Rattus norvegicus: one gene and its partners. The protein of the gene in region 1 interacts with the protein of each later gene in a pairwise test. Links are inferred from orthologs where the notes say so. Each region holds a gene or a part of one and is shown on either strand. Other genes may lie near its edges. The genes, in order: Itsn2, Synj2 and Sos1.

Evidence for each region.
Region 2: the proteins of Itsn2 (region 1) and Synj2 interact in a two-hybrid assay, tested with the Homo sapiens proteins (2 studies listed by BioGRID and IntAct). The link is inferred for Rattus norvegicus from reciprocal best matches to the Homo sapiens genes ITSN2 and SYNJ2.
Region 3: the proteins of Itsn2 (region 1) and Sos1 interact in a two-hybrid assay, tested with the Homo sapiens proteins (2 studies listed by BioGRID and IntAct). The link is inferred for Rattus norvegicus from reciprocal best matches to the Homo sapiens genes ITSN2 and SOS1.

Annotation. Positions count from the first base shown.
Region 1 is NC_086024.1:33,370,839-33,374,485, forward strand, and holds part of Itsn2 (intersectin-2), read left to right. Parts: intron 1-104; coding exon 105-168; intron 169-655; coding exon 656-793; intron 794-1,192; coding exon 1,193-1,278; intron 1,279-2,274; coding exon 2,275-2,537; intron 2,538-2,636; coding exon of another isoform or gene 2,637-2,735; intron 2,736-3,418; coding exon 3,419-3,568; intron 3,569-3,647.
Region 2 is NC_086019.1:48,993,308-48,996,954, forward strand, and holds part of Synj2 (synaptojanin-2), read left to right. Parts: intron 1-161; coding exon 162-353; intron 354-3,647. UniProt on the Homo sapiens protein: Inositol 5-phosphatase which may be involved in distinct membrane trafficking and signal transduction pathways. May mediate the inhibitory effect of Rac1 on endocytosis.
Region 3 is NC_086024.1:20,284,641-20,288,920, forward strand, and holds the start of Sos1 (son of sevenless homolog 1), read left to right. Parts: upstream 1-1,476; 5' UTR 1,477-1,489; coding exon 1,490-1,576; intron 1,577-4,280.

The DNA of each region.
Region 1 (3,647 bases):
CCCTGGCACAAACATTTTGATGGTAAATGTTCCAAGGAAGCAGCAACATTATCTGCAAGACTTAACAAACTAAAGTTGTTTCTTTTTATGCTTTTCTCAATCAGGTTTTCAAGCTAGAAATGCCCTTCTTCAATCAAATCTTTCTCAAACTCAGCTAGCCACTATTTGGTGAGTGTACCCATCAGTGATTTCAAATTATATACAGTCTATCATAAAAAGCCGCTCTGGAAGATGGCTTCTGAAAGAACAAACATAAAATCATTGTTTCTATAAAAATTTGTTATGCCAGAATGTTCCATAAAAGTGAGCATTTGGAAGTTACATTCAGCAGGAAAGTGTACATGCTTGGAACTTAACCTTGATTTTATAAGCAACAGTGTAGCTTTCTTTATTGACTTATGTTGCAATCCAGAGATTGCAACATGAAATGTCATAAACCACCCTCCCAGAAGGAGCATTTGCTATGATGATTCACTGTCTTCTCTTTCTTTTGGACTATGAAAATTAAGAGTAAAAGTTGACTTTTTTTGGTATGTATTTACGTTTTCCTAAAATATATTAATCTAGAATTTATCATGTCGTTCTTCATAAAAATAAAAGTCAGTAAAAACTCTAAGTAGACTTTGTAACTTGTGATTGGTCATGTTGCCTTTAGGACTCTGGCTGACATTGATGGTGACGGACAGTTGAAAGCTGAAGAGTTTATTCTGGCGATGCACCTCACTGACATGGCCAAAGCTGGACAGCCGCTACCACTCACGTTGCCTCCTGAGCTCGTCCCTCCATCTTTCAGGTGCGTGTCTGCAGAGCCGTGGTTTGCTTCAGTCACTTAGGTGTTGTTTTTTTACCTCTCTGGAGCCTGTGCTTCAGTTTAGAGGAGAGTCACAGGTTTGCTCTGCCCTTCGGTCTTATACTGTGTGAGTCACGCTGGGAAGTAGATAACAGAGGGGTTGTTCTCCCTATGCTATAAAAGAGAAAAGTTTAACTGAAAAGATTAAGAAAAACTCGCCCACACTGGATCTCTCTGATTAATATCCTAGTACTTTGTATATTGTGACTAAAGGCATGCTGTGGTGTAAATATCCTTGCTACTGTATCTTAAATATGGACTTGTTTTAATTGTTGGTGATCTGCATTTTTTATCTGAAAATTCTCAGGCTTTATGATGCTCTTTGTTGTGTGTCCTTCTTAGAGGAGGGAAGCAGATTGACTCCATTAATGGAACTCTGCCTTCATATCAGAAAACACAGGAAGAGGAACCGCAGAAGAAATTGCCAGGTGATAATTTTATACTTTTAATTAATTTATTTTAAAATCACAATCGTAATTTCTTTAAATTTTACTTTTGAAGTACAAACAAATATTTAGAGTATTTATAGACTTAAAAATTATATGCGGGGCTGGGGATTTAGCTCAGTGGTAGAGCGCTTGCCTAGGAAGCGCAAGGCCCTGGGTTCGGTCCCCAGCTCCGAAAAAAAGAACCAAAAAAAAAAAAATTATATGCTACATGAAAATAGTGAATGGGTGACATTTGTGTCTATGTCCATGTGTGTGCGCGCATGCGTGCACCTGTATTACTGGGGATTGAACACATACACTTACGTAACATCACCAGCTCGTTGGGATGTTTTAAATTACTTGTATATCTCAATGAAGAATAAAACTAAAAATGATGAAGGAAGAGAGGGAGCATGTATATATTTGAAAAGTTAGTGTTTTTTCCACATTGGGTAGAATCAGATCAAGGTTCGTAAAATTTTTAATGAAAAATTTTAATGAAAAAGTTTTAAATATTCATTGAAAGAATGCACATATGATTATTTTAAATTATTTAAAAGGTAGTAAAAAGACTGGAATTATAGCTCAATAGTAGAATGTTTAGCTCATACTAAGTTTAATCTCCAGCACTATAAACCAAACCAAACCAAAAACCACCTTCTTCAGAAAGTTAATGTGTGTGTGTGTGTGTGTGTGTGTGTGTGTGTGTGTGTGTGTATGCAGAGGAAACACAACCATGGTTACTTGAAGAAAGCACTGAGAAAAGGCAAACCAGTATTTTATTGGTGTTTGAATAGAGTTAGATGTAGAAAATTGGAGTTTTAAGTGAGTATTTTACAGGAAGTACTTTCCTATTTCCATGTGAGTTAGAAGTATCTGAGAGCAAGAGCAAAAGACCTCCTAGGCGACTACTAAGCAGAGTGCGTTAAACTAGATGAGAGGCTGTAGGCTTGAGACAAAGCATAGTCCCCCCTCCCCGCTCCCTCTCCTTTTTAGTTACTTTTGAGGACAAACGGAAAGCCAACTATGAACGAGGAAACATGGAGCTGGAGAAGCGACGCCAAGTGTTGATGGAGCAGCAGCAAAGGGAGGCTGAGCGCAAAGCCCAGAAAGAAAAGGAAGAGTGGGAGCGAAAACAGAGAGAACTACAAGAGCAAGAATGGAAAAAGCAGCTGGAGTTGGAGAAACGCTTGGAGAAACAAAGGGAACTGGAGCGACAGAGGGAGGAAGAGAGGAGAAAAGAGATAGAAAGACGAGAGGTAATTTTCTGACTGAGTACGCAGCGTTTAGTAAGAATATGCTGACGTGGTGCTGTGCTTTCCCATCTAAATCATGTCACTGTTCTTTACCCTGAACAGAGCTGCATCTCCTTTCCCTTGATGAGGGAAAGAGAATGGATCTCTGTGTATAAGGACAGGAAGGGCTTCATGGCAGAGTTGTGGAAACCTGGATCATGTGTAAGTGAGGCCCCAGTCAGAGGACTGTTTGCACAGCTGAGCTAAGCCAAGAGCTACAGTTAGTGGACATCAGAAAGTCAGGCAGACGAGGTCACTGGGTGAAGGCAGTCTTAGAATTCACAATCAAACTGTGAAGAATCGAAGGACCAGACTCAAACTTTAGGGAGGTGAAGACACAAAGGTGAGTCAAGAAGTCAGCCTAGGGTTCCAAGAAACACTGTTGTTAAGGGCCAGGAATGGAAGTCAGTAAATTACAGCGTTCTGAAAAGTTATAAATGAAATCGTTTCTCCTCTGATACCAGAATAAAGGTATAAGTATTTCTCTTGTTTTTTATACTTATGAAGCCTTCCTTTGACTTTTTTTTTTTTTTTTTTTTTTTGGTTCTTTTTTTTTGGAGCTGGGGACCGAACCCAGGGCCTTGCGCTTCCTAGGCCAGCGCTCTAATTCCTTTGACTTTTTAAAAGAGGAATGACTATCTAACAAAAAGATGGTTCTGTGAAGCAATTAGAAGTGATGAATAAAAGCTACCTCTGTGGCTATGCTTAGGTGCATTGGGAAACTACCTCTACTTACTTTAGGCAGTGTGGCCATCCACTCCGAAATGCTGTCATCCCATGAGACTTTGAATAACGCAGAGTTTCATAAATTTAAATGTTAACAGTAATTTGTTAATTTTATTTAGGCAGCAAAACAGGAGCTTGAAAGACAACGGCGTTTAGAATGGGAAAGAATCCGTCGACAGGAGCTTCTCAATCAAAAGAATAGAGAACAAGAGGAAATTGTCAGGCTGAATTCTAAAAAGAAAAGTCTCCACCTTGAACTGGAAGCAGTGGTACGCCTAGAGTTTTTGTGAACCTGATCTCACAATGCTGGCATTTCCTGTCCAGGGTGTGCTTGGATCACAAGGGTTT
Region 2 (3,647 bases), on another chromosome or scaffold:
CTTTATTGCAGACAGGAAAGTAGAGTGGTTAGGGTGGGTATGTCGGTCTGTTGTCCCCAGCTCATGAGTGACATTCTCTGACAGGCCACATCTCATACAATACAGGAGGGTTTCTACAGTCTAGGCTGCAGAAAACATATGCCTCTTTTGGTTACTAACAGCAACACCCAGGATCCTGAAGGCCATGACAGAACGCCAGTCAGAATTCACAAATTTCAAGCGGATCCAGATTGCTATGGGGACCTGGAATGTGAACGGAGGAAAACAATTCCGTAGCAATCTCCTGGGGACCACTGAACTCACTGACTGGCTCCTGGATGCACCCCAGCTCTCAGGAGCAGTGGACTCTCAGGGTATGTAAGAATGGTAATTTGGGAAAGGACAAACATGGATTCCTACAGCCTGTTCCAGGAGCTTGACTCTACGAGCATTGCCTTTTTGTTGTTATTGAAGACCAACCTTAGTCCCTGGTGATCTGATAGGATACATGAGATTATTTCTATCTTCCTATATCTGTTGAGACCTGTTTTGTAACTGATTATATGGTCAGTTTTAGAGAAAGTACCATGAGGTGCTGAGAAGAAGATATTTTCTTTGGTTTTTGGATAAAATGTTCTATAGATATCTGTTAAATCCATTTGGTTCATAACTTCTGTTAGTTTTACTGTGACTCTGTTCAATTTCTGTTTCGATGATCTGTCCATTGATGAAAGTGGGGTGTTAAAGTCTCCTACTACTATTACGTGTGGTGCAATATATGCTTTGAGCATTAATAAAGTTTCTTTTATGAATGTGGGTGTCCTTGCACTTGGAGCATAGATGTTCAGAATTGAGAGTTCATCTTGGTAGATTTTTCCTTTGATGAGTAAGAAGTGTCCTTCCTTAGCTTTTTTGATAACTTTTGGTTGAAAGTTGATTTTATTCAATATTAGAATGGCTACTCCAGCTTGTTTCTTGAGACCATTTGCTTGGAGATTTTTTTTCCAGCCTTTTACTCTGAGGTAGTGTCTGTCTTTGTCATTGAGGAGTGTTTCCTGCATTCCGCAAAATTCTGGGTCCTGCTTCCATATCCAGTCTTTCAGTCTATGTCTTTTTTTTTTTTTTTGAAGAATTGAGTCCATTGATGTTGAGAGATATTAGGAATCAATGATTGTTGTTTCCTGTTTTTTTGTTGTTGTTGTTGTTGTTGTTGTTAGAGATGGAATTATGTTTGTGGAATTATCTTCTTTTGGGTTAGTTTAAAGATGACTTTCTTGCTTTTTCTAGGGTGTAGTTTCCCTCCTTTTGTTGGAGTTTTCCATCCATTATCCTTTACAGGACTAGATTTATGGAAAGATGTTGTGTAAATTTGGTTTTGTTATGGAATATCTTGGTTTCTCCGTCTGTGGTAATTGAGAGTTTTGCTGGGTATAATAGACTGGGCTGGCATTTCTGTTCTCTTAGGGTCGGTATGACATATACCCAGGATCATCTAGCTTTCATAGTCTCTGTTGAGAAGTCTCATGTGATTCTGGTAGGTCTGCCTTTATATGTTAATTGATCTTTCCCCCTATACTGCTTTTAATATCTCTGTTTTGTGTTTGGTGTTTTGACTAGAATGTGATGGGAGGAATGTCTTTCTGGTCCAATCTATTTAGAGTTCTGTAGGCTTCTTGTATGTTTATGGGCATCTCTTCTATAATTCTATGGAAATTTTCTTCTATGATTCTGTTGAAGATATTTACTGGCCCTTAAGTTGGGAATCTTCGCTCTCTTCTTATCCTTAGGTCTGGTCTTCTCATTGTGTCCTGGATTTCCTGGATGTTTTGGGTTAGGAGCTTTTTGCATTTTCTTTTTTTTTTTTTTTTTTTTTTTTGGTTCTTTTTTTTGGAGCTGGGGACCGAACCCAGGGCCTTGCACTTCCTAGGCAAGCGTTCTACCACTGAGCTAAATCCCCAACCCCTCTTTTTGCATCTTCTTTGTCTGCTGTGTCAATGTTTTCTATGGTATCTTCTGCCCCTGAGATTCTCTCTCTTGTATTTTGTTGGTGATACTTGCATCTATGACTCCTGATCTCTTCCCTTGGTTTTCTATCTCCAAGGTTGTCTCCCTTTGTGATTTCTTTATTGTTCCTATTTCCATTTTTAGATCCTGAATGGTTTTGTTCAATTCTTTCACCCATTTGGCTATATTTTCCTGTAACTCTTTAAGCAATTTTTGTGTTTCCTGTTTAAGGGCTTCTACCTGTTGGCCTGTGTTGTCCTGTATTTCTTTAAGGGGCTATTTATGTCCTTTTTTTTTTTTTAAAGATTTATTTATTTATTATATATAAGTACACTGTAGCTGTCTTCAGACACACCAGAAGAGGGCATCAGATCTCTTTACAGATGGTTGTGAGCTACCATGTGGTTGCTGGGAATTGAACTCATGACCTCTGGAAGAGCAGTCGGGTGCTCTTAACCGCTGAGCCATCTCTCCAGCCCTATTTATGTCCTTCTTAAAGTACTCTAACATCATCATGAGATGTGATTTTTAAATCAGAATCTTGCTTTTCTGGTGTGTTGGGGTATCCAGGACTTGTGGTGGGAGAGCTGGGTTTTGATGATGTCAAGTGGCCTTGGTTTCTGTTGCTTAGGTTCTTGCACTTGCCTTTCATCATCTGGTTATCTCTGGTGTTAGCTGTCTCTGACAGTGGCTTGATCCTCCTGTAAACCTGTGTGTCAGCACTCCTGGGAGACCAGCTCTTTCCTGGCAGAAGCTGGGTACAGAGAGCTGTGGCACAATATCCTCTCCAGGCACAGACAGAAACTGGAAGGATCCTGTCCCAGACTGTTCCTTGGTTCCTGTGTCCTAAGGGCTCCAGGCAGGTCCCTCTGAGCAGAAGTGGTGCTCTCAGGTGTGTCAGCACTCCTGGGAGACCAGCTCTCTCCCAGCAAGATCTGGGTACAGAGAGCTATGGCACAGAATCAGCAGCTGTAGGCTGCCTCATAAACTTTAATACAGATATTTATGTTTTCATTTGTCAAAATGTTTAGCAAGCACCATGGTGTCACCTTCTAGAGTGATGCCTTCCAGTGTTATTGTTAGCTACAAGACTCTTCCGTTCCTAAGTACTCGGAGGGGTTTCCAGGGAGTAGTTCGTCTTTTTCTCAATGTGCAGAGATTTTGTGATGCTAGGAGCTAAGTGCTAGAACTAGTCGTAACCTATAGGAGATGCGGCCTCTATTCTATGCTGCTGCAAGGGGCTAACGGAGCAAGGCTTGCCATGAGTGTTGGGCATGCTGCAATCCTGTCTTTCTCCAAGGCTACTCCAGCATGGACAGTCCCAGTCTAGGACTCTGAAATCTTAAACGCTACAGCAGCTGAAGCTTTTTCAGTATTGATGAGATATGATGTAGGGGTGGGGGAATAGCATCACAGGGGAGAATCCTCCACCTCTGACCTCATGTGATGGATCACAGTCAAAGCCAGCAGCACTGAAAATGTATAAAACTACTATGTGTGCATGTGTGCATGTGTGTGTGTGCATGCATGCGTAAGTGCATGAGTGTGTGTGTGTGTGTGTGTGTGTGTGTGTGTGTGTGTGTGTGTGTGTTTATCAAGGTGTATATGGCACAGATGAATTCCATGTGTAGAATTGGGCATCATCCCCAAGACATCATTATTTG
Region 3 (4,280 bases), about 13 Mb from region 1:
ATCCGTGTATGCATTATAAAAGGAAAGACTTGAAGATTTCATTCAGACCCTATAAGGTGGTCTAAAAGATGGTGGTTTCAAACATTTTTTCTTCTGTGAGATCTTGTTTATTGTACTTCAAAACAGCAAGACCTAATGTCAATTTGAACCCAGGCTGGTTCTTCCAACTGTCTCGTCATCTATGAAATGAAAACTGAGAATTAAAACAACGCTGTACTCAGAAAGAGTTCAATGATAAGGCACAATGTGCCATAGCGCTGCACAGTGCCACTATAATAAGCATCTCCATCCTCACGATGGAAGGACAATTCATAGATACTGCTTTTATAGCATTCCGCAATTTTCACGTCTCTATTCTGGGTCGAGTACCAAGGCGAGGTGAGGGGTGGGGGGGGAATCTCTGTCTTCCAGAAGCTAATTATCCAGTTGAAGCTATGAAAGATCCCAAGCAGGACGACTAAATCCACAAATAAAAGCTCGTGGGTTTGAGTAGACACACGATCAATAAATACTACACGTATCCGTTCTCATGGCATGGAAAGGCAGATGGAAAAAAGCAGTCTCTCCTCCCACCAGACAAACCCTGAGCAGTCGTTTTTTTGTGAGAGGAATCTATCTTTTGTGCAATCTGTTTAGTATACAGTGCATGCTCAGGGCACTCCTTATCTTCGTGCTGGGAACAAAGTACACACACCCCTTTTCTAAAACACAGGGCCTAGGATCTCCTAGAACTGGATGGGCTCCCCGCCTGCCGGACCACACAAAGGGGGCGCTTTGCCTGCTCGCAGGCCCCCACACCCAGACACTTTCTCGGGTCGCGGGTTCGCTTTCAGGGTCCCTCAGCCCCGCCTCTGCGAGTGCCCTCCCCAGCCTCTGGCGCGCACCCCTCCTCATCCGCGGGCAGATGGAAAACCCGGAGCGAACCGGCCTGGGCCGCTGGCGCATGCTCAGTTGCGAGCAGGTTCAGTTTGCTAGTAGGAAGCTCCAGCGCTACACCGGCGGCGGCGGCAGCGGCAGCAGCAGCGACGACGGCCGAGCGGCCGGATTCCCCGGCAGCGACCTCGGGCCCTTCTCCTTCCTCACCCGATCCCGGTCCCGGCCCGCCCCGCTCTGGGCCTCTCGCTTGAGTTCCCCGCCCGCGAGCGGGCGCCACCGGCCCGAGCGTCCCTCCACGCGCCGTCTCTCGGAGGGCCAGGCCGTGCGGGGGAGCTCAGCCCCGGCGGAGGGCGGCCCGGGGCGGAGCGGGGGGCCTGCCCCGGGGCGGTGGTGCGGGATGCCGCCGCCGCCACCGCCGGGCTGCGTTGCCTCTCGACGAGCGGCGCGCGTGTCCGGTGGGTGCCCGGCCGCGGGCCTCGCCCCCCAGACTCCTCGCCAGCGCTAGCCGGGCCGCGCGGCGCCCCGAGGGGGCCGGGCTGTGCGCGGGCTGCGGCCCTTCTCCGCGCCGCGAGCCGCCGCCCCTCCGTCCGTCCCGAGGCGCCCCGCAGGCACCATGCAGGCGCAGCAGCTGCCCTACGAGTTTTTCAGCGAGGAGAACGCGCCCAAGTGGCGGGGGCTGCTGGTGCCTGCGCTGAAAAAGGTAGGGGCGCGGAACCCGCTTCCCGGCCCCAGTCCGCTCGGGGCCGGGTGAGGGCGGGGAGGCGGGGCGCCACCGCGGTCTTTCTTCCCGGTCTCGGGTCTCGGGGAGGTCTGCTCAGGCTGTGAGGTTCCCCGCGTCCGCTGCTCCAGCTGTTGACACTCGCCCGGGGTGCGTGGGAAGGCCGCACACAGTCGGGGAGGGTTGGTCTGGATCATCCAAGCACCGAGGCGAGGGTTGGAGGAGCCTCGGTTTTCCGTGGAGGTCAAAGAAGGCCATTGCCTACCTTCTCGATCTTACCGAGCTGCGGTCAGTCTCTCGTTTTAGGAGTCCAGGGCTCTCACTGGCTCGAAAGTGCCCTGGCCACAGTGCTTGCCTAAGTAATTGCGAGGTTGCCTGCCAGTAAGAACATGGCCTGCTTGGTTTTGCTCGTCCTCAGTCATAACTCCCCGTTCTCTTGACACCCTCCCCCCTCCCATTACAGGAGTGATGCACATGCCACTGTATTCAGATTGGTTCTTTTGAAGTAGCTGAGAATCTTCGAACCTCGTTTGGTTTGGTGTTTTGCATCTTTAGTCTTTGTGTCTTTGAGTTTGCCAGAGGTTGAAGTAAATTATTTGGAAATTATTTGCTACATTTTAAAAGCTTCTAAAGCAACTGTCTGGTTTGGCATTTTGAATTTATGTTTGCCAGTAGTTATCCGTGGCTGTTGATACATTTCGAAAGCTTCTAAAGCAACGCTTGTACCAAGACATCTGAAACAGGTGTGTTTGAATGGATTTTTAAAACCAGATTGGTTTTTGTTTTTATTTGCCTTACCTGTAGAGATTGTTTTACTCTTCCAGGAGTTTTAATCTCGATTTCTTGTTGCTCAGATGATTTTCATGCTCTCTTTGCTAAAATACAGTTTTGTTACTACTGAGTATTGAGTACAGAGTTTGCTGTACCATGCAGAGCTTTTCTATAACCAGAAAGTGTTTTCATACTCCACAGAGGCCAGCACCTTTTAGTTTCTCCTTTGCACTGTTCTCCCCTTCCCCTCTTGGTATCTTATGCTGGAAAACTGTTTGCTTTTTTGGGAGACTTTGCTTTTATTTTTCAGACTTGGGTTACTGGTTTTTATCCTCAAATGTCTTACAAATCTCTAGGTTTTCTAAGGAAATCAAAGAGGTCACCTCGTTGTGCATACTTTGTTCATTAGAGATCCCATGAGGCTTCAGTCCATTTTTACCTTGGCTTTACCTGCACACTTGCCTGCTTAGTTTGTAGAATTGGAGAAGTATGCCTCATGACGCTAGAAGTTTGGTATCTTGACAGGACAAGATGAGACAGAAAAATTGATTTATATGTACAAAAGCTCTCACAGAACATTACCAGTTTGAGGTATTCGGCTTAAAAGCAGGTAGCTCCTATTCTAAGGAGACCTCCACAATATCACTTGAGGATCCTTTGGAGTGGTAGGAAGAGCATTGTAGAAGTTGGCAGACTACTGTAACCTGCCTCATGGGTGGCCCTCGCAGAAACCTATTTTGTGTGGCTGGCATTCTGGGTCTTTTTGTTCGTTGTTTTGTTTTTCATTTTATGTAATCAGTTGCCAGTATCTTAAGATGAGAAATGTCGGGGTTGGGGATTTAGCTCAGTGGTAGGGCGCTTGCCTAGCAAGCACAAGGCCCTGGGTTCGGTCCCCAGCTCTGAAAAAAAAAAAAAAAAGATGAGAAATGTCACATACAATCTGAGTTCTTATTTTTTTCTTGAATTAGAGATGGACTTGCCATACATTTTCACCATCAGAAAACTGCTGGAGTTGTGAGTGACTGCCTTCTGTGGAAAGGGTTTTGTCCCCAGTTCACCATAGTGTGGCTTGTGTTCTATAGCTTCGCGGTTGGCTGGCTTTCCGCTTGAAGCAGAGCCGTCCCTGCAGAAGTGAGATGAAGAGGGAGTTTACAGGGTCCCTAATGCATGAGGTTCTCCTCATTCACATTCCCACCTGCAATGCTCTTAGGACACCCAAGACAAGGCTGGATATATTTCTCATATTCAGAATATGCTCTTGTAGCTTAAAACTTGAATATTGTATGTGTGTTGGACTTTTCATGAAGATGCGTCCTTGGACATTTTGTGTGGGTGTGTCCTTATCCTGAAATCTTCAGACTTTAAACTGCTTGTATAATGCCCACCAGTGTGTTTTCTTAGCTGAAGCTTTTTGGACAGTCTGCTCATTTGATCTGGCCTACTACTACTCAGCCTCAGAGATTCTTCTCAGGCGCTCAGGGTTGCGTTGGATAGTGCTCCATTGTTTCTTCCTAGTGTCCTATCCTAATTTACTTGTCCATATTCATGTTAGCTACCCTATGGGACTTCTACACCGGTGCTGTACCTGACACCTGTTAGGACTCATTTTGAACAAGTGTCTTTGTCTGTTACTTTGAGTTTGCCAGAGGTTAAAAGTAAATTATTTAGAAATGTTGCTACATTTTTTTAAAGCTTCTAAAGCAACATTGTAACTTAGTAAATCTTCAACTCTTTCCTCCTCCTTTTGGTTTGGGATTTTGAATTTCTAGCCATTATATGTTACTTTTAGTTTGCCAGTGGATAAAGTTATTTGGAAATGTTGCCAAGTGTGTAAGGGGATACTCATAATAAAACTGACCCCCACCACCAGTTTCTAACTTCTTGGTTAATGGCTTTAAACTTGTATTTGACTGGT